Anolis sagrei: one gene and its partners. The protein of the gene in region 1 interacts with the protein of each later gene in a biochemical or structural test. Links are inferred from orthologs where the notes say so. Each region holds a gene or a part of one and is shown on either strand. Other genes may lie near its edges. The genes, in order: UBA1, UBE2Q2, UBE2J2 and UBE2T.

Evidence for each region.
Region 2: of the proteins of UBA1 (region 1) and UBE2Q2, one has a biochemical effect on the other in vitro, tested with the Homo sapiens proteins (3 studies listed by BioGRID). The link is inferred for Anolis sagrei from reciprocal best matches to the Homo sapiens genes UBA1 and UBE2Q2.
Region 3: of the proteins of UBA1 (region 1) and UBE2J2, one has a biochemical effect on the other in vitro, tested with the Homo sapiens proteins (2 studies listed by BioGRID). The link is inferred for Anolis sagrei from reciprocal best matches to the Homo sapiens genes UBA1 and UBE2J2.
Region 4: of the proteins of UBA1 (region 1) and UBE2T, one has a biochemical effect on the other in vitro, tested with the Homo sapiens proteins (4 studies listed by BioGRID, with this or other methods). The link is inferred for Anolis sagrei from reciprocal best matches to the Homo sapiens genes UBA1 and UBE2T.

Annotation. Positions count from the first base shown.
Region 1 is NC_090022.1:193,378,021-193,385,481, forward strand, and holds the start of UBA1 (ubiquitin-like modifier-activating enzyme 1), read right to left. Parts: upstream 3,003-7,461; 5' UTR 2,871-3,002; intron 1-2,870. UniProt on the Homo sapiens protein: Catalyzes the first step in ubiquitin conjugation to mark cellular proteins for degradation through the ubiquitin-proteasome system.
Region 2 is NC_090029.1:11,631,857-11,639,019, reverse strand, and holds the start of UBE2Q2 (ubiquitin-conjugating enzyme E2 Q2), read left to right. Parts: upstream 1-4,162; 5' UTR 4,163-4,177; coding exon 4,178-4,486; intron 4,487-7,163.
Region 3 is NC_090033.1:4,945,310-4,952,757, forward strand, and holds the start of UBE2J2 (ubiquitin-conjugating enzyme E2 J2), read right to left. Parts: upstream 3,017-7,448; 5' UTR 2,867-3,016; intron 1-2,866. UniProt on the Homo sapiens protein: Catalyzes the covalent attachment of ubiquitin to other proteins. Seems to function in the selective degradation of misfolded membrane proteins from the endoplasmic reticulum (ERAD).
Region 4 is NC_090024.1:205,674,015-205,681,795, forward strand, and holds the start of UBE2T (ubiquitin-conjugating enzyme E2 T), read right to left. Parts: upstream 3,023-7,781; 5' UTR 2,942-3,022; intron 1-2,941. UniProt on the Homo sapiens protein: Accepts ubiquitin from the E1 complex and catalyzes its covalent attachment to other proteins. Catalyzes monoubiquitination. Involved in mitomycin-C (MMC)-induced DNA repair.

The DNA of each region.
Region 1 (7,461 bases):
AAACATTACAATTACTACTATAAACCATCCTATCTGCAAGAACAGTCCAGGCTGTTCCAATAGTCACTGCACATAATTCCATCTATTGCACTGTATTATTCACCAAAGGCTTGATCCTAAAGCCATGTTTTCACTCTTTTTCAGACTATGTCATAAACTCTGTATCGACATGATAGTAATATTGAAATACAGCCATGAAAATGAAACAGAGAGAAATAAAAAACCAAATGAACTTAAACAGACATTCCTACTAAAAACTGATTTTCTGGTTGCTTGAGAGTTTCAGTTAACAGAGTCTACTTCCCCTATCAGGTCCAAAGGAATGGCGTGGAATTCCTTACCTAGAATAATCAGCACTCCAAACATAACACACATATGTATTGTTGAAGGCTTTCATGGCCGAAATCACTGGGTTGTTGTGAGTTTTCCAGGCTGTATTGACCATGGGCCCTTCCACACAGCCCTGTATCCCAGAATATCAAGGAAATCCTACAATATCTGCTTTGAACTGGGTTATCTGAGTCCACACTCAGATAATGTGGGATCTTCTGCCTTGATATCCTGTGTGGAAGGACCCCCAGTTTCAGAAGCATTCTCTCCTGAAGTTTCGCCTGCATCTATGACGGGCATCCTCAGAGGTTGTGAGTTCTGTTGGAAACTAGGAAAATTGGGTTTATATCTGTAGAAAGTCCAGGGTGGGAGAAAGAACTCTTGCCTATTGGAGCTAGGTGTGAACATTTCAATTGACCAGCTTGATTAGTATTTAATGGATAAATGAACAAAATCTGCCTACTAGTATTTAAAAAAAAAACTCTTAAAATCATAGCAGTAAATAAAGAACAACACTAAAAAAGGGGGAATTCCTGACAAGAAACAATCAGGGCCAGCTAATCACCTTCTAAGACAGAATTACCCCAGGTAGTAAGAAGCCAGACCTTGAAACTGCAAGGCCATTCAATGCTAATCAAGGTGGCCAAGAGCAAACCACAGACCACCTACTGCAATGTAACCTGAGCCATGAGAAGCCTCCCACAAGGATGATAAAAACAACAAATCATCCGGGCGTCCCCTGGGCAACATCCTTGCAGACGGCCAATTCTCTCACACCAGAAGCGACTTGCAGTTTCTCAAGTCACTCCTGACACGACCAAAAAAATACAAACCTGAGCCCTGCCACATGCACAATGGAGGACCTTCTTGCAGCAACACCAGAGGCTACCCAAGTGGCCAGCTACTGGTCAAAGGACATTTAATAGAATACAAAGTCTGCAAACTTTGCGTTTTGTTTGTTTGTTTGTGTTTAATGCAATACAACTGTTTTGGTTCGCTCCAAACACGATAAATAAATGAAAGTGGACCATTGAAACCTGGACACTGACCTCAAGCAGACAAGAGTTGATTCTTCCACTCTGGACCTTCCACCGATATATAATAATAATAATTTATTTATCTGACCAGCCATATGACTATTTCAAAATACAACACGAATAAAAGACAGATATATAAACCTCTAGGACAGTGGTTCTCAGTCTGTGGGTCCCCAGATGTTTTGGCCTTCAACTCCCAGAAATCCTTACAGCTGGTAAACTGGCTGGGATTTCTGGCAGTTGTAGGCCAAAACACCTGGGGACCCACAAGTTGAGAAACACTGCTCTAGGAGCCCCCGGTGGGTAGGAGCCACCGGTGGTGCAGTGGGTTAAAGCACCGAGCTGCTGAGCTTGTTGACTGAAAGGTTGCAGGTTCAAATTCGGGGAGTGGCATGCGCTTCCGCTGTCAGCCCCAGCTCCTGCCAACCTAGCAGTTTGAAAACATGCAAATGTGAGTAGATCAATAGGTACCACTCTGGTGGGAAGGTAACGACGCTTCATGCAGTCATGCTGGCCACATGACCTTGGAAGTGTCTATGGACAACGCCGGCTCTTCGGCTTAGAAATGGAAATGAGCACCACACTCCAGAGTCGGACACAACTGGACTTCACGTCAGGGGAAAACCTTTACTTTTTACCAATATAAACCTCACTTGCCTAGTTTCCAACAGACCTCACAACCTCTGAGGATGCCTGCCGTGGATGTGGGTGAAACGTCAGGAGAGAATGCTTCTGGAACATGACCATACAGCCTGGAAAACTCACAGCAACCCAACAATGCACAGACCTCACAACCTCTGAGGATGCCTGATGTGGGTGAAACGTCAGGAGAGAATGCTTCTGGAACATGGCCATACAGCCTGGAAAACTCACAGCAACCCAACAATGCACAGACCTCACAACCTCTGAGGATGCCTGCTGTGGATGTGGGAGAAACGTCAGGAGAGAATGCTTCTGGAACATGGCCATACAGCCTGGAAAACTCACAGCAACCCAACAATGCACAGATCTCACCACCTCTGAGGATGCCTGCTGTGGATGTGGGCGAAACGTCAGGAGAGAATGCTTCTGGAACATGGCCATACAGCCCGGAAAACTCACAGCAACCCAACAATGCACATAGTGTGTGCATGCAGATAGATGCTCCTAAAATCAAGTCCTTTGGGGAATTCCAAAATCAAATATGGATTTCCCAAAATTAAATTAATTAAATATGCAAAAATTAAATATGCAAAATATGTCCCTTGTTCCACCCACTCGAGAAAGTGGGGTGGGGGGTGGGGAAAGGAACCCACACAATCCATCAATGAATGCATCTTTGTGGGTGCTCCTCTCCCATGACCCCCTACACCCCCATTCCCAAAATGCCCTTCCCCCTCCCCCTCCCCAGCCCCGCCCCTTCTTTCCAGGCAGGGAGGGGGCTGCTCCCTCTGCGCTCCCTCCCCCTCCCTTCCTCATCACCCCCTCCCATTCAGAGCAGCACCCCCTCCGGGTCTCTCTCACCCCCCCTCTGTGAGCCGCCTGCGTTCCAACTGGGGGTCCTTCTCCCGCTTCTCTGCCTGCCTGCCTCTCCTGTTGGGCTGCTTCTGCGGGCCCCGGCCGCCGCCTGCTGCTGCTGCTGCTGCGAGGAGAGGGTCGGGCGCAACCATTCCCCCACAGAGGGGTGTCCGCTCTTCTTGGGCTCCCCCTTGCAGCGCCGCGCTCTGCCTCCCCGCTAGAGAAAACCCTTCCCGTGCACTTGAGGACCACGCCGGCCCCTTTTGACCCCCACCATCCTTTGTCGGGAAGAGGTCCCCGGGAAGCAGAACGGGACGACTCAGAATACGACCTCCCCCCTTCGTCGAGCGGGAATGGTACGGCTCGGCTACCTGGGAAATGTAGTCGGCGGGCGGCTGGACCTGGAAGGGAGCACGTGGCTTCTGATGCGTGGGGAAGAGGCAGAGGCGTAAACACGTGGCTGGAGGCACACGCAGGGGGCGCCGATCGGGCCCAAAGCGGGTCTGGGAGCCCCCTTCAGGTTGGGGGTGCATTGATAAAAAACTCACATTATCTGCTTTGAACCGGGTTATAGGACAGTGTGGACTCGGATAACCCAGTTCAAAGCCGATATTGTGGGATTTTCTGCCTTGATATTCTGGGTTATATGGCTGTAGGGAAGGGCCCTGAAGTCCCATCTATACTGCCATATAAAATCCCACATTATCTGCTTTGAACCGGGTTATATGACAGTGTGGACTCGGATAACCCTGTTCAAAGCCGATATTGTGGGATTTTCTGCCTTGATATTAAGGGTTATATAGCAGTGGAGAAGGGTCCTGAAGTCCCATCTATACTGCCATGTAAAATCCCACATCTGCTTTGAACCGGGTTATATGACAGTGTGGACTCAGATAACCCAGTTCAAAGCCAATACTGTAGATTATCTGCCTTGATATTCTGGGTTATATGGCTGTGTGGAAGGGCCCTGAGGTCTCCTCTACCCTGCTATATAAAATCCACATTATTTGCTTTGAACCGGGTTATATGACAGTGTGGACTCAGATAACCCAGTTCAAAACAGATATTGTGGGATTTTCTGCCTTTATATTCTGGGATATATCTGCCTTGATATTCAGGATTAGCTGTGTGGGAGGGCCCTGAGGTCCCATCTACATTGCAATATATTATCTGCTTTGGGTTATAGGGCTGTGGGGAAGGGTCCTGAAGTCTTATCTACACTTCCGTATAAAATCCCACATTATCTGCTTTGAACCAGGTTATATGACAATGTGGACTGGGATAACCCAGGTCAAAGCCGATATTGTGGATCATCTGCCTTGATATTCAGGGTTAGATAGCTGTGTGGAAGGGCCCTGAGGTCCCATCTACATTGCCATATATTATCTGCTTTGAACTGGATTATATGAGTCTCGACTGCCATATCCAGTTCAAAGCAGACAATCTGGATTTTATGTGGCAGTGTAGATGAGGCCTAAAGGTGCATCTACATTAGAATTGATGCTGTTTTGCCCCATTTTAACTCCTGCCACTCAATGCTGTGGATTTATGGGAGTTGTAGTTTGGGAGGCACCAACATTCTTTGGCAGAGAAAACCGAAGGCTATATCTGCCAGTGTCTTGAGTCTATAACTTTCAGCCATGACAGTTTAAATGGGGACAAATTTACTTAATTCGACAGGATGCGTCTTTAATCTAAGAAAGTACGCTACCAGTTTATTTCCCTGTTAGGGTTCATCTACGTTGTAAAATGAATGCAGTTTGACACCACTTTAAGAGCCAGGGACCAGTGCTATGGCATAATAGGAACTATAGTTTTACAAGGTCTGATGCATTTTCTGTCAAGGAGTGCTGGTGCCTCACCAGACTATAAATCCCAGGATCCCATAGTATTGAGCCATGGCAGTTAAAGTGGCCCTAAATTGCATTCCAGTTCAGACATATCCTTAGACTAAATATCATTATTATTATTAATTATGCATTGTCTCCATGCTGCGCAGTCCTGGGAGTCATAGTTTTCCAAGGTCGATACCCTTCTCTTGGTGCATCTACACTGTGAAATTAATGCAGTTGGACCTTACTTTAAATGCCATGTCTCCATGACTTGCTCTTGGGAATTGCAGTTTCCCAAGGTCCATGAACCTTCTCTGGATGCATCTACACCAATGGTTCTCAACCTGTGGGTCCCAGAAACCCTAACAGCTGATAAACTGGCTGGGATTTCTGAGAGTTGTAGGCCAAAACACCTGGGGACCCACAGGTTGAGAACCACTGATCTACACCATGAAATGAATGCAGCTGGACCTTACTTTAAATACCATAGCTCTATATTATGCAGTCCTGGGAGTTATAGTTTTCCAAGGTCAACCCTTCTCTTGGTGCATCTACACTGTTGAATGAATGCAGTTGAATCTTATTTTCAATTCCATAGCTCCATATTATGCAGTCCTGAGAGTTATAGTTTTCCAAGGTCAGTGCCCTTCTCTTGGTGCATATACACTTTGAAATGAATGCAGTTGGATCTTACTTTCAATACCATAGCTCCATATTATGCAGTCCTGGCAGTTATAGTTTTCCAAGGTCTACACCCTTCTCTGTGGGGCAGCTGAGAGGACATTGCCACATTCCCCCCCCCCCCTGCTTCCGAAATTGAAGACACGTAACAGCTGACATTTCAAAGAGAGGAGGGATGGTGAGCAGTGCCTAGTGATTACAGTGTGATGGCAAATCTACTGAAAAAATGCTGAGTACAACTGAGTAACACGGATACATTTTACAGTGTGATGAAAGTAGGGAAATCATCAGTTTCATTTCAAAACTGAGTCAGACTGAGCTCTTCCAAACACTTCCTTGCTTCAGTGTGATGAAGTCCACAGTTTTTATTATTGCCAGTGCTGATGAGTCCCTCTGAACATTCGCAGCAAGTTATACTTCCATTAATTAGCCAACATTCTTCAGATCCAACTTCAAAGTACTTTGAAATCCCCAAGAGCCTAAACAGCTTGGATGAACAAGTGCCAGCCATTCAGATTTGCTGGTGAAATGTGGAGCTGGAGAACCTATCTGCTGACCCAGTTGGCATCAACAATTGCATTTTGGCTTCTTGGTAAGATTTTGTCCTATTGAAGCATACGATTTCTGTGTGTTCACTGTACTCTGTCCCCAAATCCTCTGCTTTTTGGCAAAGAGCACATTTTTATCACAAAATCAACCAATTAAACTATCAAAAACCTTTAAAAGTGCCATGCTAGAGAAGATCAAAGGGTCATCTTGGTCAACAGTGGCTAACCAAAGCCTCCCATGGGACGTCTGCCAGCTATTATAGCAAACGTACATAAATGTGTTATCTGGAGGGCAGCCCTGTACAGTAGAAGCACTCAGTTCATTTGGTCCTGACTGTTTGCTTCAGGCAAATTCAGGTTTCAGAGAGAGAGAAACATATTGGCATAAGGAATCAGCAAGAATTACTTTGAGTTGCGAATCAATATTACGGTAATCACTTTTCATTAAAGGATTAATGAAATCTACGCCCTACACCACTGGAGAAATTACATTGTTTAGCCAGTATTGCACCACCTGACATCCGCCAGGAAGTAGCAAGCAATAGTGAAAGGACCAAGGCAGTGACATCTCCAGCTCTTCCCCTGTTTGGGTATCAGCCAGCACATTAACCACTTAAATCAAGAAATAGTTTTCTGAGATCTACAGACACACTCGCTGGAACACCCCAGCAAGCGAGAGTCCAAAAGTGGCAGGCTCAAACCCAGAATCTCAATCAATGGCTGATACCAAATGAGAGACTCCCCCCTGGGCACACAGAAAACTGGGCGACTTGGAAGGCGCTGAACAAACTGCACTCTGGCACCACGAGATGAACAAGAATGATGAGTCGGCTTTGTTATCAGAAATCTTATTTGTCTTATTTATTGTTTTTGTTGTAGTTCAGCCTGTAATTTTGTTTCAGGATCAGGGTGCTTTGGATGTGGGGAATGATGTAAATGAGGTTCTGTCCTGGGCCCGGTCCTGTTCAACATCTTTATTAATGACTTAGATGAAGGGTTAGAAGGCAGGATCATCAAGTTTGCAGATGACACCAAATTGGGAAGGATAGCCAATACTCCAGAGGACAAGAGCAGGATTCAAAACGATCTTGACAGATTAGAGAGATGGGCCAAAACTAACAAAATGAAGTTCAATGTGGACAAATGCAAGATACTCCACTTTGGCAGGAAAAACGAAATGCAAAGATACAGAATGGGGGACAATGCCTGGCTCGAGAGCAGTACGTGTGAAAAAGATCTTGGAGTCCTCGTGGACAACAAGTTAAACATGAGCCAACAATGTGATGTGGCGGCAAAAAAAGCCAATGGGATTTTGGCCTGCATCAATAGGAGCATAGTGTCTAGATCTAGGGAAGTAATGCTACCCCTCTATTCTGCTTTGGTTAGACCACACCTGGAATACTGTGTTCAATTCTGGGCACCACAATTCAAGAGAGATATTGACAAGCTGGAATGTTTCCAGAGGAGAGCGACTAAAATGATAAAAGGTCTGGAGAACAAGCCCTATGAGGAGCGGCTTAAGGAGCTGGACATGTT
Region 2 (7,163 bases), on another chromosome or scaffold:
TTCTGTTGAAATTGTCCATATGCTTCTTGTGGATTTTAGTGGCTTCTCTGTGTCGTCTAACATGGTGGTTGTGAGAATGGTCCAGTATTTCTGTGTTCTCCAATAATCTGCTGTGTCCAGGTTGGTTCATCAGGTGCTCAGCTATGGCTGACTTCTCTGGTTGAAGGAGTCTGCAGTGCCTTTCATGTTCCTGGATTCGTGTTTGGGTTAGTCTGCGTTTGGTGGTCCCTATGGAGACTTGTCCACATCTGCATGGTATATGGTTGACTCCTGCAGAAATAAGAGGATCCCTCTTGTCCTTTGCTGAATGTGTTGGATTTTCTTAATGGGTCTGTAGATAGTTTGTAGGTTGTGTTTCTTCCTCAGCTTCCCTCTGTGGTCGGTGGTTCCCTTGATGTCTGGCAAGAACCCTTTCCCTCTGGGTGGGTCTTTGTCTTGACTCTCGTGGCTTCTTCTTGGTCTCGTGGCTCTTCTGATGCCTGTGGTGGAGCCTCCATTGGCCTGCAAAGCCCAGTTTATTATTATTTATTATTATTGTTCATTTATTATTATTATTATTATTTATTATATATTATTTATATTCCGCCTTTCTCACCCCAACTCAGGGGACTCAGGGCGGAGCACAGTATATCTATGGCAAACATTCAATGCCGGGACACAAAATCTTATATACATACATAAACATTAAAAACGTATTGTCGAAGGCTTTCATGGCCGGAATCACTGAGTTGTTGTAGGTTTTTTCGGGCTATATGGCCATGTTCTAGAGCAGGGGTCCTCAAACTACGGCCCGGGGGCCGAATACGGCCCTCCAAGGTCATTTACCCGGCCCTCGCTCAGGATCAACCTAAGTCTGAAATGACTGGAAAGCACACAACAACAATCCTATCTCATCAGCCAAAAACAGGCCCACATTTCCCAATGAAATACTAATAAGGTTGTTGTTGTAGGGTTTTTTTTGGGCTATATGGCTATGTTCTAGAGGCATTCTCTCCAGATGTTTCGCCTGCAACTATGGCAAACATCCTCAGAGCTAGTGAGGTCTGTTGGAACTAGGAAAGTGGGTTTATGTATCTGTGGAATGACCAGGGTGGGACAAAGGACTCTTGTCTGCTGGAGCTAGGTGTGAATGTTTCAACTGACCACCTTGATTAGCAATTTTAGAGTTTTTAGAGAATTTTAGAACATGAAAGGCACTGCAGACTACTCCAACCAGAGAAGTCAGCCATAGCAGAGCACCTGATGAACCAACCTGGACACAGAATATTATTTAAGAACATAGAAATGCTGGACCACTCTCAGAACCACCATGTCGGACTACACAGAGAAGCCATTGAAATCCACAAGCATGTGAACAATTTCAACAGAAAGGAGGAAACCATGAAAATGAACAAAGTCTGGCTACCAGTATTAAAAAAACTCTAAAATTAAAACAGCAAAACAACAGAGGGGAAACAATCAGGGACATCTAATCACCTCTCAACAAAAGGATTGGTCCAGGCACTTCCAGGCTATCAAATGCTAAATCAAGGTGGTCAGTTGAAACATTCATACCTAGCTCCAGCAGACAAGAGTCCTTTGTCCCACCCTGGTCATTCCACAGATATATAAACCCTTTTGCCTAGTTCCAACAGACCTCACTACCTCTGAGGATGCTTGCCATAGATGCAGGCGAAACGTCAGGAGAGAATGCCTCTAGAACATGGCCATATAACCCGAAAAAACCTACAACAACCCAACATTAAAAACATTTATCAAAATATTAAAATACACCATTTAAAACCGTCCTAGTCATCCATGTCAAATCTAATTGGCCTGGTCCTCTTTCCTATTGCTGCTTTATTTCCCTGTCCTGAAAGCGTGGTCCCACAGCCAAGTTTGTGTGTTATTGTTCATTCGTTCAGTTGTTTCCCACTCTTCGTGACTTCATGGACCATCTCACGCCAGAGCTCCCTATCGGCCGTCACCATCCCCAGCTCCTTCAAAGTCAATCCAGTCACTTCAAGGATACCATCCATCCATCTTGCCCTTGGTCAGTCCCTCTTCCTTTTTCCTTCCATTTTCCCCAGCATCATTGTCTTCTCCAAGCTTTCCTTTCTTCTCATGATGTGGCCAAAGTACTTCATCTTGGCCTCTCCTATCCTTCCCTCCAATGAGCAGTCGGGCTTTATTTCCTGGAGACTGGTTGGATCTTCTTGCTGTCCAAGAACTTTCCTCCAACACCACAGTTCCAAAGCACCTCTCTTTCTTCGCTCAGCCTTCCCTAAGGTCCAGCTCTCACATCCGTAGGTGACTATGGGGAATACCATGGCTTTGACTATGCGGATCTTTGTTGCCAGTGTGATGTCTCTATTCTTCACTATTTTGTCGAGATTGGACATTGCTCTCCTCCCCGGTCCAAGGCACTCTCAGAACTTTCCTCCAACACAACAGTTCAAAAGCATCTCTCTCCCTTCGTTCAGCCTTCCCTATGGTCCAGCTCTTGCATCCGTAGGTGACTATAGGGAATACCATTGCTTTTACTATCCAGATCTTCGTTGCCAGTGTGATGTTGCTACTCTTCACTATTTTATTGAGATAAAATTTATCGAGAAGCTTCCCAGAAGGATAATAAAAACATCAAATCATCTGGGTGTCCCCCTGGGCAACTTCCTTGCAGATGACCAATTCTCTCACACCAGAAGAGACTTGCAGTCTCTCAAGTCGCTCCTGACACGACCAAAAAAAATGGATTGAGGTTCTGGGTTTGAGCCTGCCTCTTTTGGACTCTTGCTTGCTGAGGTGTTCCTCTAAGAATCTCTGTAGGTCTTAGGAAGCTGTTTCTTGATTGAAGGAGTTGTCTTGCTGGCTCCCGTGGGGTTCCTTCTCATGTGAGGGTCTCCAGGTGGGAAGCATGTGAGATAGTTCAGGAAGCTTTCCAGACTCTGATACTGTTTAACTTCCAGGGTGCTGCTGGGTCTGTAGCAACTCTGGGGAAATGCAAAGGAATGCTATCCCATGCAGCTAAAAGACAATGTAAACCATGCTCCTGGAAGACGGAACACTGCCTCTTTTGGACTCTTGCTTGCTGAGGTGTTCCTCTAAGTGTCTCTGTAGGACTTAGGAAGCTGTTTCTTGATTGGAGGAGTTGTCTTGCTGGTTCCCTCTCCTGTGAGGCTCTACAGGTAGGAAGCGTGTGAGATAGTGCGATAGTTCAGGAAGCTTTCCAGACTCTGATACTGTTTAATTTCTAGGGTGCTGCTGGGTCTGTAGCAACACTGCCTCTTTTGGATTCTTGCTTGCTGAGGCGTTCCTCTAAGAATCTCTGTAGGTCTTAGGAAGCTGTTTCTTGATTGGAGGAGTTGTCTTGCTGGCTCCCATGGGGTTCCTTCTCCTGTGAGGCTCTCCAGGTGGGAAGTGTGTGAGATAGTTCAGGAAGATTTCCGGACTCTGATACTGTTTAACTTCCAGGGTGCTGCTGCCCCTTTTGGACTCTTGCTTGCTGAGGAGTTCCTCTAAGTATCTTTGTAGGTCTTAGGAAGCTGTTTTTTGATTGGAGGAGCTGTCTTGCTGGCTCCCCTGATACTGTTTAACTTCCAGGGTGCTGCTGCCCCTTTTGGACTCTTGCTTGCTGAGGTGTTCCTCTAAGTATCTCTGTAGGTCTTAGGAAGCTGTTTCTTGATTTGAGGAGTTGTCTAGCTGGTTCCCTCTCCTGTGAGGCTCTCCAGGTGGGAAGCATGTGAGATAGTTCAGGAAACTTTCCAGACTCTGATCCTGTTTAACTTCCAGGGTGCTGCTGGATTTGTAGCAACACTGCCTCTTTTGGACTCTTGCTTGCTGAGGTGTTCCTCCAAGTATCTCTGTCTGCAGCAACACTGCCTCTTTTGGACTCTTGCTTGCTGAGGTGTTCCTCTAAGTATCTCTGTAGATCTCAGTAAGCTGTTTCTTGATTGGAGGAGTTGCCTTGCTGGCTCCCGTGGGGTTCCTTCTCCTGTGAGGCTCTTCAGGTGGGAAGCGTGTGAGAGAGTTCAGGAAGCTTGGAGAAAGACCTAGTCTAGACTGAGGAAGTGAGGGGAAGGAGGCCGCGCCCCCTTTAAATGTCCTCCACGCGCGGGGCATGCCGGGAGCCGTAGTCTTACGGAGTGGTGGGACTCCCCTCCGCCAATGAGCGCTCCCGACGCGCCCGACTACAACTCCCATGATTCCATCGCGGCGAGGCCTAGCCGGGGCGTCGGAGGCGACGCTGAGGGAGAGAGGGAGGGAAGGCGAGCGCGGCCTAGGCCTTTCCGCAGGCTTCTCCTCCGTGCGGGCTTTCTCCGGAGATGAGGCCAGGATGTCCTCGTCGGTGTCAGGGCTGAAGGCCGAGCTGAAGCTGCTGGAGTCCATCTTCGGGAAGGAGCACGAGCGCTTCCGCGTCCTCTCCTGGCGCCTCGACGAGCTCCACTGCCAGTTCCTCCTCCTGCCCTCCTCGCCCCAGCAGCCCCTCGCCATCCACTGCAACATCACGGTGAGAGCCAGCAGGGAACGAAGGAAGGAATGAGGGAATGAGGGAAGGGAGGGAAAAAAGGAAAGGGCCTCCCCGCGGCCTAGCGCCCACCCACCAGCCTGCCTCGCAGTAGGAGCCTCCTCCGCAGGCTGGGGCCTGCAACTCCCACCAGGCCTCACGGCCCACTACAACTCCCAGAAGCCCCCAACCGAGAAGGAAGGGTGGGAGATACAGGCCCAAACCCCTGGAGCCACCCCCCCCCCCCCAATTGGGCCAGGAAAGTTTGCCCCTCATGTTCCTTCATTATATTATTATAAATATAATAATTTCCGTCTTGTCTTGACTAATAATATAGTATATTGTATTCTTATTACTAGTATTATATTGTACTACATTATAAATATTATAATTTCCATCTTGTCTTTACTAATGATATAATATCTTGTATATACATATAATAATATTGTATTATTATTACTAGTATTATATTATAAATATTATAATTTCCATCTTGTCTTTACTAATGATATAATATCTTGTATATACATATAATAATGTTGTATTATTATTACTAGTACTATATTATAAATATTATAATTTCCATCTTGCCTTTACTAATAATATAATATATTGTATATACATATTGTATTATTACTAGTATTATATTGTATTACATTATATTATAAATATAATAATTTCCATCTTGTCTTTACTAATAATAAAGTATATTGTATATACATATAATAATATCTTGTCTTTACTAATAATATAGTGTATTGTATATACATATGATAATATTGTATTATTATTACTAGTACTATATTATAAATATTATAATTTCCATCTTGTCTTTACTAATAATATAATATATTGTATATACATATAATAATAATGTATTATTTATTTATTTACTTCGCTTATATACCGCAATTCTCAGCCCCAGGGGCGACTCACTGCGGTGTACAATATAGAAAAACATGTGCAAAATACAAGACATAGTGTAAAATAATCCACAATCATCATTATCAAAAAAACATCCTCATCAAAAACATCAACATTACTACAAAAGCCATTCCGTGTCGTCTCATCGTCAAACCCACAATCCAGTATCATTTTCCGTTGTTCCATTCCTATGGTCAAAATACCAATCATTGCACTTCTTGTTCAAATGCCTTCTTAAACAGCCAGGTCTTTAACTTCCTGTGGAACATCAACAGGGAGGGAGCTAGCCTGATGTCCACGGGAAGGGTTTTCCACAGCCGAGGAGCCACCACCGAGAAGGCCCTATCTCTCGCCCCCGCCAGCCGTGCCTGTGACGCAGGCGGGATCGAGAGCAGGGCCTCCCCGGAAGATCTCAAAGTCCTCGTGGGCTCATAGGCCGAGAGGCGGTCAGTTAGGTATCTTGGGCCGGAACCGTTTAGGGCTTTATATATATATGGTATATACATATAACAATATTGTATTATTATTACTAGTATTATATTTTACTACATTATAATATTATAAATATTATAATTTCCATCTTGTCTTTACTAATAATATAATATATATTATATACATATTGTATTATTACTAGTATTATATTGTATTACATTATATTATAAATATTATAATTTCCATCTCGTCTTTACTAATAATATAGTATATTGTATATACATATAATAATATTGTATTATTATTACTAGTATTATATTGTACTACATTATAATATTATAAATATTATAATTTCCATCTTGTCTTTACTAATAATATAGTATATTGTAGATACATATAATAATATTGTATTATTATTACTAGTATTATATTGTACTGCATTATAATATTATAAATATTATAATTTCCATCTCGTCTTTACTAATAATATAGTATATTGTATATACATATAATAATATTGTATTATTATTACTAGTATTATATTGTACTACATTATAATATTATAAATATAATAATTTCCATCTTGTCTTTACTAATAATATAATATCTTGTATATACATATAATAATATTGTATTATTGTTACTAGTATTATATTGTATTACATTATAAATATTATAAATATTATAATTTCCATCTCGTCTTTACTAATAATGTAATATATTGTATACACATATAATATTTATAATAGTATAATGTAATACAATATAATACTAGTAATAATAATACAATGTTATAATTATATATTTTAGATTACATGTAATATTACTAATAATATCACAATATAATGATATAGTGCAACATAGTAATGTATAATACTGATATTGTACTATGCTAATAATATAAGATATTGTATGTATATATTTACTTATTTACTTACTTCATTTGTATACCGCTTTTCTCAGCCCTTAGGCGACTCAAAGCGGTTAATAATAGCAAAAATTCAATGCTAAACATCATAAAGACAGTTAAGAGACAATTAAAACAATAACATAGTAAACAATTAAACATCAATATAACATCTCATTAGTGTCTCATCAGTAGCATCAAGATCCAATCTCATCATCCGTTGTTCTGTATTCCTATATTCATTACACTGCCTATTCAAATGCCTGCTCGAACAGCCAGGTCTTCACTTTCCTCCGAAATGCCAATAGGGAGGGGGCCGATCTAATTTCTGTAGGAAGGGCGTTCCACAGCCGAGGGGCCACCACTGAGAAGGCCCTGCCTCTCGTTCCCGCCAGGCGCGCCTGCGATGCAGGCGGG
Region 3 (7,448 bases), on another chromosome or scaffold:
ACTAACGGGCTTGTTTATAAAGCTATTGTCCTCCCAACCCTGCTATATGCCTGACAAACGTGGACTGTCTAAAAACATCACATGCAACTCCTGGAACGATTCCATCAGCGCTGTCTCTGGAATATCCTGCAAATCTCTTGGGAAGACAAGCGGGCTAATGTCAGCGTGCTGGAAGAAGCAAAGACCACCAGCACTGAAGTGATGATCCTCCGCCGTCAATTCCGCTGGACCGGCCACGTTGTCTGGATGCCCAACCACCGTCTCCCAAAGCAGTTGCTCTACTCTGAACTCAAGAACGGAAAACGGAAAGTTGGTGGGCAGGAAAAGAAATTGAAAATGGCCTGCATCAATAGAAGCATAGTGTCTAGATATAGGGAAGTAATGCTACCCATGCTCTATTCTGCTTTGGTTAGACCACACCTGGAATATTGTGTCCAATTCTGGGCACCACAATTCAAGAGAGATGTTGACAAGCTGGAATGTGTCCAGAGGAGGGCGACTCAAATGATCAAGGGTCTGGAGAACCAGCCCTATGAGGAGCGGCTTAAAGAGCTGGGCATGTTTAGCCTGAAGAAGAGAAGGCTGAGAGGAGATATGATAGCCATATAAATATGTGAGAGGAAGCCACAGGGAGGAGAGAGCAAGCTTGTTTTCTGCTTTCCTGGAGACTAGGACGCAATGGAACAATGGCTTCAAACTACAAGAAAGGAGATTCCATCTGAACATGAGGAAGAACTTTCTGACTGTGAAAGCCATTCAGCAGTGGAACTCTCTGCCCTTGAGTGTGGTGCAGGCTCCTTCTTTGGAAGCTTTTAAACAGAGGCTGGATGGCCATCTGTCAGGGGTGATTTGAATGCAATATTCCTGCTCTTGGCAGGGGGCTGGACTGGATGGCCCATGAGGTCTCTTCCAACTCTTTGATTCTATGATTCTAAAGATGGTCTCAAAGCCAACCTTAAAAACTGGCATAGACACTGAGAACTGGGAAGCCCTTGAGCGCTCCATCTGGAGTCAGCTGTGACCAGCAGTACTGCAGAATTTGAAGAGGCACGAATGGAAGGCGAAAGAGAGGAATGTGCCAAGAGGAAGGAGTGTCAAGCCAACACCAAACAGGACCGCCTTCTACTTGGAAACTAATGCCCTCACTACGGGAGAAGATGCAGATCAAGAATAGTCACCTATGGACCCACCAGAATACTGATCCTAGAAGACTATCCTACTTGGCCAACGAGTGATCGCCAAATATAGTAAATAAAGAAATATAATAAATCATGATATCTGGTTTTTTATATTGATCTTGCTATTTGCTATATTTCTCAGCCCGCGGGATAGAGAGTTTCATCTATGCTGATGATCGTGCCATTACTGCTCAAGCAGGGAGCTTTGAGATGGTTGAACAGAAGCTCTCCGAAGCTCTAGGTGCTCTTACTGCCTATTACAGGGAAAACCAGCTGATCCCCAACCCATCTAAAACACAGACATGTGCTTTTCATCTCAAGAACAGACAAGCATCCCGAGCTCTGAGGATTATTACCTGGGAAGGAATCCCACTGGAGCATTGCAGCGCACCCAAATACCTGGGAGTCACTCTGGACCGTGCTCTGACCAACAAGAAGCACTGCCTGAACATCAAGCAAAAGGTGGGTGCTAGAAACAACATCATACGAAAGCTGACTGGCACAACCGGGGGATCACAACCAGACATGGTGAAGACATCTGCCCTTGCGTTATGCTACTCTGCTGCTGAGTACGCATGCCCAGTGTGGAACACATCTCACCACGCTAAACAGTGGATGTGGCTCTTAATGAGACAGGGTGCCTGCGCCCTACACAACTGGAGAAATTACACTGCTTAGCCGGTATTGCACCACCTGACATACGCTGGGAAGTAGCAGCCAATAGTGAAAGGACCAAGGCAGTGACATCTCCAGCTCATCCCCTGTTTGGGTATCAGCCAGCACGCCAACGACTTAAATCAAGACATAGTTTTCTTAGATCTACAGAGACACTCGCTGGAACACCTCAGCAAGCGAGAGTTCAAAAGTGGCAGGCTCAAACCCAGCACCTCAATCCGTGGGTGATACCAAATGAGAGACTCCCCCCTGGGCACACAGAGGATGGGGTGACTTGGAAGGTGCTGAACAGACTGCGCTCTGGCACCACGCGATGCAGAGCCAACCTCCAGAAATGGGGCCACAAAGTGGAGTCCACGACATGCGAGTGTGGAGAAGAGCAAACCACTGACCACCTGCTGCAATGCACCCTGGGCCCTGTCGCATGCACAATGGAGGACCTTCTTGTGGCAACACCAGAAGCACTCCAAGGGGCCAGAGACTGGTCAAAGGACATTTAACCAACTACCAAGTTCGCAAAATTTGTGTTTTGTGTGTCTGTTTGTTTTGTTAGAAATGTAACACAATGGTCTGGTTGGTGATGACACGATAAATAAATAAAATAAAATAGCCTGCGGGTGTATATAGTAAGTAAGTAAATAAATAAAATGTGGATTTTATTGATGCCTCCCAAATAATCCCAAAAAATAGGCCTAAAAGCCAAGTTATTTTGAATTGTTGGGCTGTGTTATTGTTAGTATTCTGGTTCTCAAACAGGCGTGGGCCAACTTCGGCCTTTCCTCCAGGGGTTTTGGACTGCAACTCCCACAATTCCTAACAGCCTGGCGGCTGTTAGGAATTGTGGGAGTTGCAGTCCAAAACCCCTGGAGGAAAGGCCGAAGAGAGGCCTAGCTCAATGGACGCCAAAGAGGGAGGCTTGGCGGCGGGGAGTAGGCCTCACCCCGAAGGCCGCAAAAGCCCCGGCCTGGCCCGCTCTCTCTGTCCCGCCCTCCGTCCCTTCTCGGGCCTCTCACCGCTTCCTCCGGGGCTCGAGGCCCTCCTGCGCCGCCTCGCGAAGGGAAGAGGGCCGAGGGCAGGCTCCCTCCGGCTCCCTCCGCGACCCTCCAAGATGGCGGCCCGAGGCAGGCCCAGGTCCCGACCGGCTTCCCCTTTCCCACACTTCCGCTTCCGTCCGAAGCCTCGCCGAGGCGGGTTGCATCACTTCCGGTTTGGGAACCTCAGCCCGCCTTGCTGTTTGGGGAGTGGTTTCTCAAGCGAGCTGAGCCGCATGCGCGGAATCAGAGCCCTGCCGTCTCTGGTCTGAGCATAGCCGTTTCGGGAGGTGAGGCGCATGCGCGGAAGCAGAGCACCCCCGCCCCGCCCTCTCTGGTCCTCCCGTTGCCGTGGCAACCGGTCGCCCTGGAGACGGCTGCGGCCTAGCTCAGGATGGATTTTGAAGCCTCCCAAAGTCCCTTCAAGTCTTCCACAGTTCCTCACAGCCTCAGGCCCCTTCCTTTTCTCCCTCAGGAAGGACAACAATTCCCATTATTCTCTATCCATTTCCACCCACCCCAAAAATGTAGTCCAGCCAGATCTGGGGATGATGGGGTTTGCAGTCCAGCCAGATCTGGTGCTGATGGGACTTGCAGTCAAGCTAGATCTGGGGTGATGGGGTTTGCATTCCAGCCAGATCTGGGATGATGGAATTTCCAGTCCAGTCACATCCGAAGATGATGGGATTTGCAGGCAAACCAGATCTGGGGACAATGGGATTTGCAGTCCATTCACATCTGCATATGATGGGATTTGCAGTACAACCAGATATGGGAATGATAGGATTTGAAGTCCAGCCAGATCTAGGGCTGATAGAGTTTGCAGTCAAACCAGATCTGGGGACAATGGGATTTGCAGTCCATTCACATCTGCGTATGATGGGATTTGCCATCCAACCAGATCTGGGGATGATGGGATTTGCAGTACAGCCAGATCTGGGGATGATGGGATTTGCCATCCAACCAGATCTAGGGCTGATAGGGTTTGCAGTCCATTCACATCTGCGTATGATGGGATTTGCAGTCCAACCAGATCTGGGGATGATGGGATTCACAGGATCATGGGATTTGCAGTACAACCAGATCTGGGGATGATGGGATTTGCAGTACAGCCAAATCTGGAGGTGATGGGATTTGAAGTCTGGCCAGATCTGTAAATGATGGGATTTGCAGTCTGGCCAGATCTGGGGATGATGGGATTTGCAGTCTAGTCAAATATGGAGCTGATGGAATTTGCAGTCCAGTCACGTCTGCATGTGATGAGATTTGCAGTCCAACCAGATCTGGGGCTGATGGGGCTTGCAGTCAAGTTAGATCTGGGGTGATGGGGTTTGCATTCCAGCCAGATCTGGGATGATGGGTTTTGCAGTTCTCAAATATGGGAATGATGGGATTTGCAGTCCAACCAGATCTAGAGCTGATAGGGTTTGCAGTCCATCCAGATTTCGGGGTGTTGGGATCTGCAGTCCAGTGAGATCTAGGGATTATGCAATTTGCAGTCCAGTCTGATCTGGAAATGATGGAATTTGCAGTCCAGCCAGATCTGGGGGTGATGGGGTTTTCAGTCTGGCCAGATAGGGGGCTGATGGAATTTGCAGTCCAGTCACATCTGGGGATGATGGATTTGCAACCGAGTCAGATCCGAGGATGATGGAATTTGCAGTCCTGTCAGATCTGGGATTGATGGATTTGCAGTCCTGTCTGATCTGGAACTGATAGGATTTGCATCCCAACCATATCTGGGGGCGATGGGGTTTGCAGCCCAGTCAGATCTGTGGATGATGGGGTTTGCAGTCGAGTTGGGATGATGGGATTTGCAGTGGATTTGGAGATGATAGGATTTGCATTCCAACCACATCTGGGACTGATGGAATTTGGAGTCCAGTCAGACCTGGGGATGATGGATTGGCAGTGCAGTCAGATCTGGGGGTGATGGATTAGCAGTGCAGACATATCTGGGGATGGTGGGATTTGCAGTTTGGACAGATCTGGGGATGATGGGAGTTGCAGTCGTCCAGAACTGGGGTTGATGATAGTTACCATCCAGTAAGATCTGGGGCTGATGGGATTTGCAGTCCAGCCAGATCTGGGGATGGTGGGAGTTGTAATCCAGCCAGATCTGTGGATGATGAGTATGCGTTTTCTGATGGGACTATTCATAGAAGGAACTATGAGCAATAATAAACAAACTCCTGGTCTTCCATCCTTCCAACTCTGATGCTCCGCACTTAATTTTCCAGATGCTGTTTGTCCGGTTCCAGTCACCCGTCCGGTATTTGGATTCCAGCATTAGCGAACGCAGTCTGTTATTAAGCAAGCTTGCCTTACCATAAAGGATTTCGACACCTCTTCCGACTTGTTTTGTCCTGCATGGGAAATGCGTTGCCACACGGCACGGAATCGGCACCCCTCTTCCTCCGGCAGGAAGGGCCGAGTGCCATGCTCCGGCTCCAGGGATGGATTTATTTCACCAAACCAGAAGAAAAAAGGCTTGGGTTTTGCAACATCGCCGGTTGGGGAGTCGTCTCGCATGTGGGAACCTGCGCCGTGCCTCCAGAAGGAGCCGAAGCTGAAGGTAAGGGAGGCACTTCTTTATTTGCAAAGCCAGGCACAAACAGGGATGGTTTAAGGTGTCATTTCCATGAATCTGCTCCAGGTTTTAGTCTGAACTTTCACAGACCTGTAATCAATCCCTTAAATATGTTTAGAATTGGCTTAAAATCTGGATTAAACCCAGAGTGGATTCATTACCCCATTGGTGTGATAATAATCTAATGCTTGATAATATTTCTTCCATTCTAACTAATTTTGGTACCGAGAAAAGTTTATTTATATATTATATTTCTTCAATTCCAAGATGCATTTTCCTCTCATATAAATATCTCTGAAAATGGGGTATGTCTTAAAACATTGGTTCCCAACCCTATTTTTTGACCAGGGACAACTCTCCAACATTAGTACCAAAAGGGTTACAAATCGGTTTTTGGTCTAATTTAGATTTGGTTTGGTTGTTTGGGGTGTTAATTCAGAAAATTGCATTGCATAGACCACATCAGCTGATTAAGAAACTTCATTGGATAGACCACATCAGCTGATTCAGAAAATTGCATTGGATAGACCACATCAGCCGATTCAGAAAAGTGCATTGGATAGACCACATCAGCTGATTAAGAAACTTCATTGGATAGACCACATCAGCTTATTAAGAAACTTCATTGGATAGACCACATCAGCTGATTCAGAAAATTGCATTGGATAGACCACATCAGCCGATTCAGAAAACTTCACGGGATAGACCACATCAGCTGATTCAGAAAAGTGCATTGGATAGACCACATCAGCTGATTCAGAAACTGCATTGGATAGACCACATCAGCTGATTCAGAAACTGCATTGGATAGACCACATCAGCTGATTCAGAAAATTTCATTGGATAGACCACATCAGCTCTCGTTTCTGATACAGAACATGTGCCATCCAGTAGTCTCAATCTGCTCATCCACAGAAAACCATATTTTATACAGTGCTGGTCTCCTTCCTTCCTTCCTTCCTTCCTTCCTTCCTTCCTTCCTTCTCTCCCTTTCTCTTTTGCTCTCCTCCAACGGTGCCGGGAAAGTCACACGAGGGCGAGAGCATGAGGGCAACGGTGCTGTCCTCCTTCCTTTCTTCTCTCCCTCTCCTTCTCTCTTTCGCTCTCCTGCAACGGCGCGGTGAAAGTTGCAAAAGAGCAAGGGCAACAGCATTGGCTTCCTTCCTTCCTTCCTTCCTTCCTTCCTTCCTTCCTTCCTTCCTTCCTTCCTTCCTTCTCTCCTTCTCCTTCTCTCTCTTGCTCTCCTCTACCAGTGCAGTGAAAGTCTCGAGAGGGCTTGGGCAACGGTGCTGGCCTCCTTCTTTCCTTCTCTCTCTCTCCTTCTCTCTTTTGCTCTCCTCCAACAGTGCCAGGAAACTCTCGAGAGGGTTTGGGCAACAGTGTTGGCTCCCTCCCTCCCTCCCTTCTTTCCTTCTCTCCCTCTCCTTCTCTCTTTTTCTCTCCTCCAACAGCACCAGAAAAGTCTCGAGAGGGCTTGGGCAACGGTGCTGGCCTCCTTCCTTCCTTCTCTCCCTCTCCTTCTCTCTTTTTCTCTTCTCCAACAGCACCAGGAAAGTCTCAAGAGAGCTTGGGCAACGGTGTTGGCCTCCTCCCTCCCTTCCTTCTTTATCTCCCTCTCCTTCTCTCTTTCCCTCTCCTCCAATAGTGCCGGGATAGTCTCAAGAGGGTGAGGGCAGCAGTGCTGGTCTCCTTCCTTCCTTCTCTCCCACTCCTTCTCTCTTTTGCTCTCCTCCAGCAGTGCCGAGAAAGTCACGAAAGGGCAAGAGGATGAGGGCAACGGCGTTGGCCTCCTTCCTTCCTTCCTTCCTTCCTTCCTTCCTTCCTTCCTTCTGTTTTTGTAAGGCTCCAGTTGCAAGGATGTCACCTTTGGATCTGTATTGCAGATGAATAGATGTGTATTAGTGCAGGAAGACCATCCCTTGCATGAGATCAAGGCCAGGAATAGGATTAAGAAATTGGGATTTGTACTTGACA
Region 4 (7,781 bases), on another chromosome or scaffold:
CAGCTTGTCAACATCTTATTTAAATTGTGGTGCCCAGAATTGGACACAGTATTCCAGGTATGGTCTGTCCAAGGCAGAATAGAGGGGCAGCATGACTTCCCTGGATCTAGACACTATACTCCTATTTATGCAGGCCAAGGCTTTTTAAGCTGCCTATCAGGTTGAGGGACTTACGTTTTTCATCATACACTGAGACGTACAGTGGAAATTATGTATCTGTTGGGATTAGGTTCCAGGAACCCCTCCACTTACCAACATCTGTGGAAGCTCACGTATCATAATCTAAAATGGCATAGCAAAATGGCATCCCTAATATTAAATGGCAAAAATATAAATTGTTTTTTAGGACTTTGATGGGGGACCGACATTGCGGATGCAGAATCTGTGGATATGGAAGGCCATATACTTGATGAGTGGGAGGATAGATGAGAAGATGGAGTAAGGGAGGATTCAGTTTTAAATATGTTTTGATTTGTTTGTTTCATAACAAAATATTTAATTTTATTTAAAAGTTCATATTTTAATGCATTTGCTCAGATTTAATTGTATCATGTTTGCTGTTAGCTGCCTTGACTCCCCTGTACTGAGGGCTCTTCCAGCCAAGCCTTATATCTCAGGATCTGATTCCAGGTTTTCCATTTATCTCAGATTAACTGGCATTGGGGACACATATAATCCAGTTTAAAGCAGAAAACCTGGGATCAGATCCCGAGATCAAGGACCTATCTGGAGGGCTCTGAGAGAAAGGCAGGATTTGTGTGTGTGTGTCAGGGCAACTCGAGAAACTGTTGTGAGAGAATTGGTATTCTGAAAGGACGTTGCCCAGGGGACATCCAGATGTTTGATGTTTTACCATCCTATGGGAGGTTTGTCATATGTCCTTGCATGGGAAGCTTGAGCTTGACAGACAGGAGCTTACCTTTCGGTCAACCAGTTCGGCCGGGACAAAACTGTATATGTTTTAATGTGTTTATTGACTATAACTGTTTTAATGGAGGGGAGTATGTTATTGTTTTTACTGTTTATTTTATTGGTATTGAATGGTACTGGAGTTGTAAGCCGCCTTGACTTCCCTGAGGGGGAGAAAGGCGGGGTATAAATGAAGTAAAAAAAATAAATAAATACATAACACATTGCGCCACCAGGGGCAGGATAAAAACTAAGTAAAACAAATACACTATGTCTCCTTATGGATCAAAGTTTCCCAACTGGGTAGGTGGGAAACTACTCCCTACGCAAAGAAAGATGACAAGGACTCCTGGCAATCCTTTGCACCTTGACATTAGGACACAGCTCTCTTGATTCCAGGCCATACAGACTGGGGCTCACTGGAGTTGCAAAAGAGGGGTACCTTGCCTGAGTGAAACCCCACCCCAAAAAAGCCCCTGTACCTTTAATGGTTGTATAGAAAAGAAAACAGGAGGTGCTTCTTGTCACCCAACCAGGGAACAAGCAACATCTGCTGTAATTCTCTCTTCTTAGCAAATAGTAAAGTTTTTTTTTGTCACACAGAGTAAAGGCAATGTATTGTCGAAGTGATTCATGGCCAGAATCACTGAGTAGTTGTAGGGTTTTTTTTCGGGCTATATGGCCATGTTCCAGAGGCATTCTAGAACATGGCCATATAGCCTGAAAAAGCCTACAACATTCCAGAGTAAAGACACGCTGTTTATTTTGAACTGTTTTAGTCTATTGTAGTATTTTGTGCTGAGAATGCCTTAGACAGCGAGAAGATCCAACCAGTCCATACTTCAAGAAATAAAGCCTGACTGCTCATTGGAGGGAAGAATAGTAGAGGCCAAGATGAAGTATTTTGGCCACATCATGAGAAGAAAGGAAAGCTTGGAGAAGAGTATGATGCTGAGGAAAATGGAAGGAAAAAGGAAGAGGGGCCGACCAAGGGCAAGATAGATGGATGGTATCCTTGAAGTGACTGGATTGACCTTGAAGGAGCTGGGGGTGGTGACGGCCGACAGGGAGCTCTGGCATGGACTGGTCCATGAAGTCACGAAGAGTTGGAAACGACTGAACGAATGAACAACAACAACAATTGTGGTATTTTACCACATTGAATTTTTGCCTGTTATGTTGTGGGGAAATAAGGCGGGATAGAAATAAAGTTTTACTTATACCATTTCTCCACCACCTGAAACGCTGGGAAGAAGCGGAACATGGTGAAGTTACTTTGGGGATTTTGTTGCTGCTGCTGCGTGCCTTTCAAGTTGTTTCCAAGGTATGACAACCCTAAGGCAAACCTATGGCAGGGTTCTCCTAGCAAGATTTGTTCAGAAGAGCTTTGACATCACCTTCCTCTTGAGGCTGAGAGAGTGTGTCTCGCTCATTCCAAGTCTAGCCTTCAGAGTTCCTGGGGTGCATCTACGCTGCTGAGTTAGTGCAGTTTGATATCACACGAATCGCCATGGCTCAATGCTATGGGATCATGGGAGTTGTAGTTTTACAAGGCCTTTAGCCTTCTCTGCCTCACCAGACTACATCTCCCAGGATCCCACAGCGAAAGTGATGTCAAACTGTGTTAATTCTACACTCTAGATCAGGCATGGGCAAACTTGGGCCCTTCAGGTGTATTGGACTTCCAACTCCCACCATTCCTAACAGCCTCAGGCCCTTTCCTTTTCCCCCTCAGGCGCTTAAGCGCCTGAGGGGGAAAAGGAAAGGGCCTGAGGCTGTTAGGAATGGTGGGAGTTGAAGTCCAATACACCTGAAGGGCCCAAGTTTGCCCATGCCTACTGTAGATGCACCCCTCGCCCAATGCTCAGCCCACAAAATGTTCCAACCAGGCCTAACCAACTGAGCTGAGAAACACCATCGGAACCAGAACTCCCTTCACACACACCACAGGCCTGAGGGGAAAGGGCCTTCTCTTGCTGAATGCCTGAGAACCAACGAAGCAGCAGGAGCCACAGGCGCCGCAACGACTCACCGCGTTTCTCAGCCTCAGGAAGGCAACTCACCAAACAAGCCGAGAAGACAAAACGCGCGCCCTGTTTTGAACCGGAAAGACCCAGCGTCCCAAGCGCGTCGCAGCCTGAATGGACAGACCGAGTGTCCGTCAAAAGCAACTCAAAGCGGATTGGCCAATGGAAACAATAGCTCCACCTCCCAAGAAATCTAAACAGTTTCTAATGGGATACAGTCTCTAGCGTCGATCTTGATACTTCCGGAACTAATTTCGCTGTCACTCTGCATGGTGTTAACACAGGCCCCTTCCACACAGCTGAATAAAACCCCATTTTCTGCTTTGAACTGGAATATATGGCAGCGTGGACTCAGGGCCCTTCCACAAAGCCCTATATCCCAGAATATCAAGGCAGAAAATCCCACAATATCTGCTTTGAACTGAGTTGTCTGAGTCCACACTCAGATAATGTGGGATTTTCTGCCTTGATATTCTGGGATATAGGGCTGTGTGGAAGGGCCCTCGGATAACCCAGTTCAAAGCAGATATAGTGGGACTTTCTGCCTTGATATTCTGGGTTATATGGCTGCGTGGAAGGGCCCTCAATAATACCCAAACTCCAGTCTTCCAGGTGTTTATAATATATTGTCAAAGGCTTTCATGGCTGGATTCACTGGGTGGTTGTAGGTTTTTTCGGTCTATATGGCCATGTTCTAGAGGCATTTTCTCCTGACATTTCGCCTGCATCTATGGCAAGCATCCTCGGAGGTCCCAATAGACCTCAGAAGACCTCACAACCTGAGGATGCTTACCACAGATGCAGGCAAAATGTCAGGAGAGAATGCCTCCAGAACAGGGGTCCTCAAACTAAGGCCCAGGGGCCAGATGCGGCCCTCCAAGGCCATTTACCTGGCCCTCGCTCAGGGTCAACCTAAATCTGAAAGCACACAAAAACAACAGCAACAATCCTATCTCATCAGCCAAAAGTAGGCCCACACTTCTCATTTAAATACTAATAACTTTATATTTGTTAAAATTGTTCTTCAATTTAATAACTGTATTGTTTTAAGTGTTTTTTGCACTACAAATAAGACATGTGCAGTGCGCATAGGAATTCATGTGTTTTTCGAATTATAATCCGGCCCTCCAACAGTTTGAAGGACTGTGACCTGGCCCTCTGTTTAAAAAGTTTGTGGACCCCTGCTCTAGAACATGGCCATATAGCCCGAAAAAACCTACAACAACCCAGGTTTTAATATAGGCATTTTGTAGAAATACGTTTTCATATGTATATTTTATATAATGCCTACCATGGTTACATTTTTTTAGTTATGTTGTAACCTACCTCAAGCCACTATGAGAGGTAAGAAATAAAATAATAATAATTTTGGACTTCAATTCCCTGCATTTGACTGCAGCCCAGGCATACTAAAATATATATAGGCATTTGCTATTATCCACAGTTTCAGGAATCCATGCCGGAATCTTGGAACATATCCTTCATGGATAAAAGGGTCACATAATATTCTTTATTTATATGCAGTGACCACAACTGTACACAGTAGTCTGGATATAGGTACACTATAGGTTTGTATAAGGGCAGTTCCATTTTCAAGTTCCCTTTCTAATTGTGCCTAGCAAGGAATTTTACTGTTTAATTTTTTTAGCAACTGCAAACTTTCTCCTGTGTCAACACTTTCTTTTTACAATCCGCGTTCCCTTTCTTGCTAAATCACTGGCAACTCAGTCCCATTAAGGAAGCTAGATTTTTATTATACTTTATTTTTGCCCCAGTGCATATCACTTTGCATTTGCTTACATTACATTTATTTGCCGTAAGAGTCTTTGTTGTTGTAAGTTCTACAAGAGATTAAAATCAGTTAAGATGCTGATGTCAGGTAAAATGGGGCCCTTGAGTCAATTTCCTCCCTTGTTAATTTCCTTAGGAAGCTGACAGCTAAATTTGGTAAGCACTTCAAAGATGATCCATAAAGTGTTGAGTGACTGTTCAGTCAAAGAACTTCATTTCTATTTGACAAACTCTGTTCAAAGTCTCCTAACAAGTAATGACCCAGAAAAAGGAGGACTGATAATTAACCCGAATTCACATTTCCTGTCACTAATTAGATTAGAACAATTTAAAATGGTTGTGACATAGCTCTAAGTAAACATCATAAATTATATTTTTTACAATTGCAGCAATCAAATCTTCATTTACAGAAAAAAACTAGTCATTATGAGTGAATCATAGCAGAAGTGGCAAAACATCTGGTTTAGGATGCTATACAACCCCTGTATCTGCAAGGGATATGTTCCTGCAGACTGGAAACCATGAATAGCAATGTACAGAAGTGTTTATTATAATGTGTGTATAACTGTATTAATGTTTTACATTGGTTGCCTATGGCTGGAGCGGCCTAGCTGTGAGAGATATGTTGCCATAGAAACAAGGCAGAAGAGGAGGTGGGAGGAGCTTAGAGAGAAAAAGGTTTAGAAAGTGACAGTTAAGTTCAGTCAGGAGGAAGAGACCCTGAGAGAGTAGCAGAGTCAGATAGGGACTCTGAGAGAGTAGCAGAGTCAGGGAAGAGACTCTGAGGAGTGAAGAAGTGTAGAGTTAGTTTTTTAGTGTTCGTGAATATTTCTTCAGCTAGGGAGCTGAAGGGGAAAACCTCGTTAGATTACTTTAGTTAGAAAGAACTAACAGAGGCTTTTTAGGATCGCCAGTCGGTGGAAGACTGGAGATCAGTGATTTGATCCAGTATAGATCAAACAGTGAGAATATTCACAGCAGGGAACACTGAATAATAAAGCACTTCACTACAGCAAGAGTTTATAAGTTGTAACATCAAAAGTCTGAACTGTATCGCAACCAAGTCATATTGTAACCATCAAGTATATGCCAAGCCTAACATCTTCATATTGTAACTATCAAGTATATGCCAAGCTTAACAACTTCATTTTGCAACCATTCGCTTTGTTTAACAATAAACTTGTTCTCTTTGGTTTTTAAAACTGCCTCATCTCCATTAATTTATGTTCGGTGCACCCACTCTACCAAAATTACCTCACAACACAAACAGAGACTTTAATACCAGCGTCTCTTTACATTTTGGTGGCAGTTTCATTAGCATTGTCGGAGGTTCTTTACAAGCAAGACCTTTGGAAATGAATGATTTCCACCAAAAATTGCCATACAGTCACCCTGAAGGACCCAGAAAATTTCTAGAGATGACATATTTTGTCTGCAAACTGAAGAGCTCCTGTCCCAGGAAATGACTGTGCCTCAAAAGAAAGGAATGAACAACTGTCACTAGCAATAGGTCACCCAGAACTTCCTTCCAGATATTTTGGACTAAAACTCCCAGAAGCCCCAGTCATGACCAATAATCTGAGGTACTGGAAGCTACTATTCAAAGAAGCAGAGAGGAATAGTGAGAGAAATAAAACCTCACTTGCTTCCTCCACCTTGCCAGTAGGAGCATCCTGTGAGCAGATATGTCATTTCTGCCCAGAGAGCATTCTGCACTGTAGAATTAATGCAGTTTGACACCACTTTCACTGCCATGGCTCAATGTTACAGAATCCTGGGTGGTTTGTTTTGTGTGTGTGTGTGTGTGTGCGTATGAGAGAGAGAGAGAGAGTGAGAGAGAGAGAGTAGTCACTTCTGGTGTGAGAGAATTGGCCATCTGAAAGGACATTGACCAGGGAACGCCTGGATATTTTACCATCTTGTGGGAAGCTTCTCACACATCCCCACATGACAAGCTGTAACTGATAGCTCACCCTGCTCCTCGGATTAGAACCACCGACCTTTTGGTCAGCAGTCCTGCCAGCACAAGGGTTTAACCCATTGCGCCACTAGGGGCTCCTGGTGGTTTGGCGAGGCACCAGCAGTCTTTGGCAGAGAAAACTAAAGGCCCTGTAAAACTACAATTATGATTTCATAGTATTAAATCACAGCAGTTAAAATGATGTCAAGCTGCATTAATTCTACAGTGTAAAATGCATCCCTGGTTAAGATCCCAACTCTTATTTTTGTAAAGAAGCCACGGAAGAGGTCTGCCTTCACACGTTTGGAAGATGGTTACTGGCTGCTTATGTACTGAAATAAACCCATTTTTCCTACTTCCAACAGACCTCACTACCTCTGAGGATGCTTGCCATAGATGCAGGCGAAACGTCAGGAGAAAAATTGCCTCCAGAACATGGCCATATAGCCCGGAAAAACCTACAACAACCCAGTGAGTAAAGTATTTCTAGCCAAATGTGAGAACACGGCAACCAGATGCAGTGTGGATGACTACTGCTAAACTAGAAGCACAGCATTGTGCTAGTCATGAGGTTTATAAATGTCAACAGTAAGATGGTTTTCTTAAGTATGAAGCCTCCTTATCTTCCTTGGGTCTAAATTAGGCCTGGGTAAACTTGGGCCCTCCAGGTGTTTTGGACTTTAACTCCCACAATTCCTAACAGCCTCAGGCCTCATCATTTGAGAAAAGGAATGGACCTGAGATTGTTAGGAATTGTGGGAGTTGAAGTCCAAAACACCAGGAAGGCCCAAGTTTGCCCAGGCCTGGTCTTTTGATCATTTGAAATAGCCATATAACAAGAGATTTGGGGAGGGGGGGTTGTACAGATTTGATCCCAAATCAACTTTTTCAGTCTTCATCAGTAATCTTAAATGCTGACGGTTGCCAAATGCCGAGGGATATAAGGACATTCTGCATCTAGGCCAGAGGTTTAGCACAACTGGTAAATCATCAGCAATTATAAGATCTATCAACTAAAATGTTGCAAGTTCGAAGCCCCGGGTTGGCATGAGCTGCCAACTGTCAGCCTAGCTCATTGTTTACCTAAGCAATTT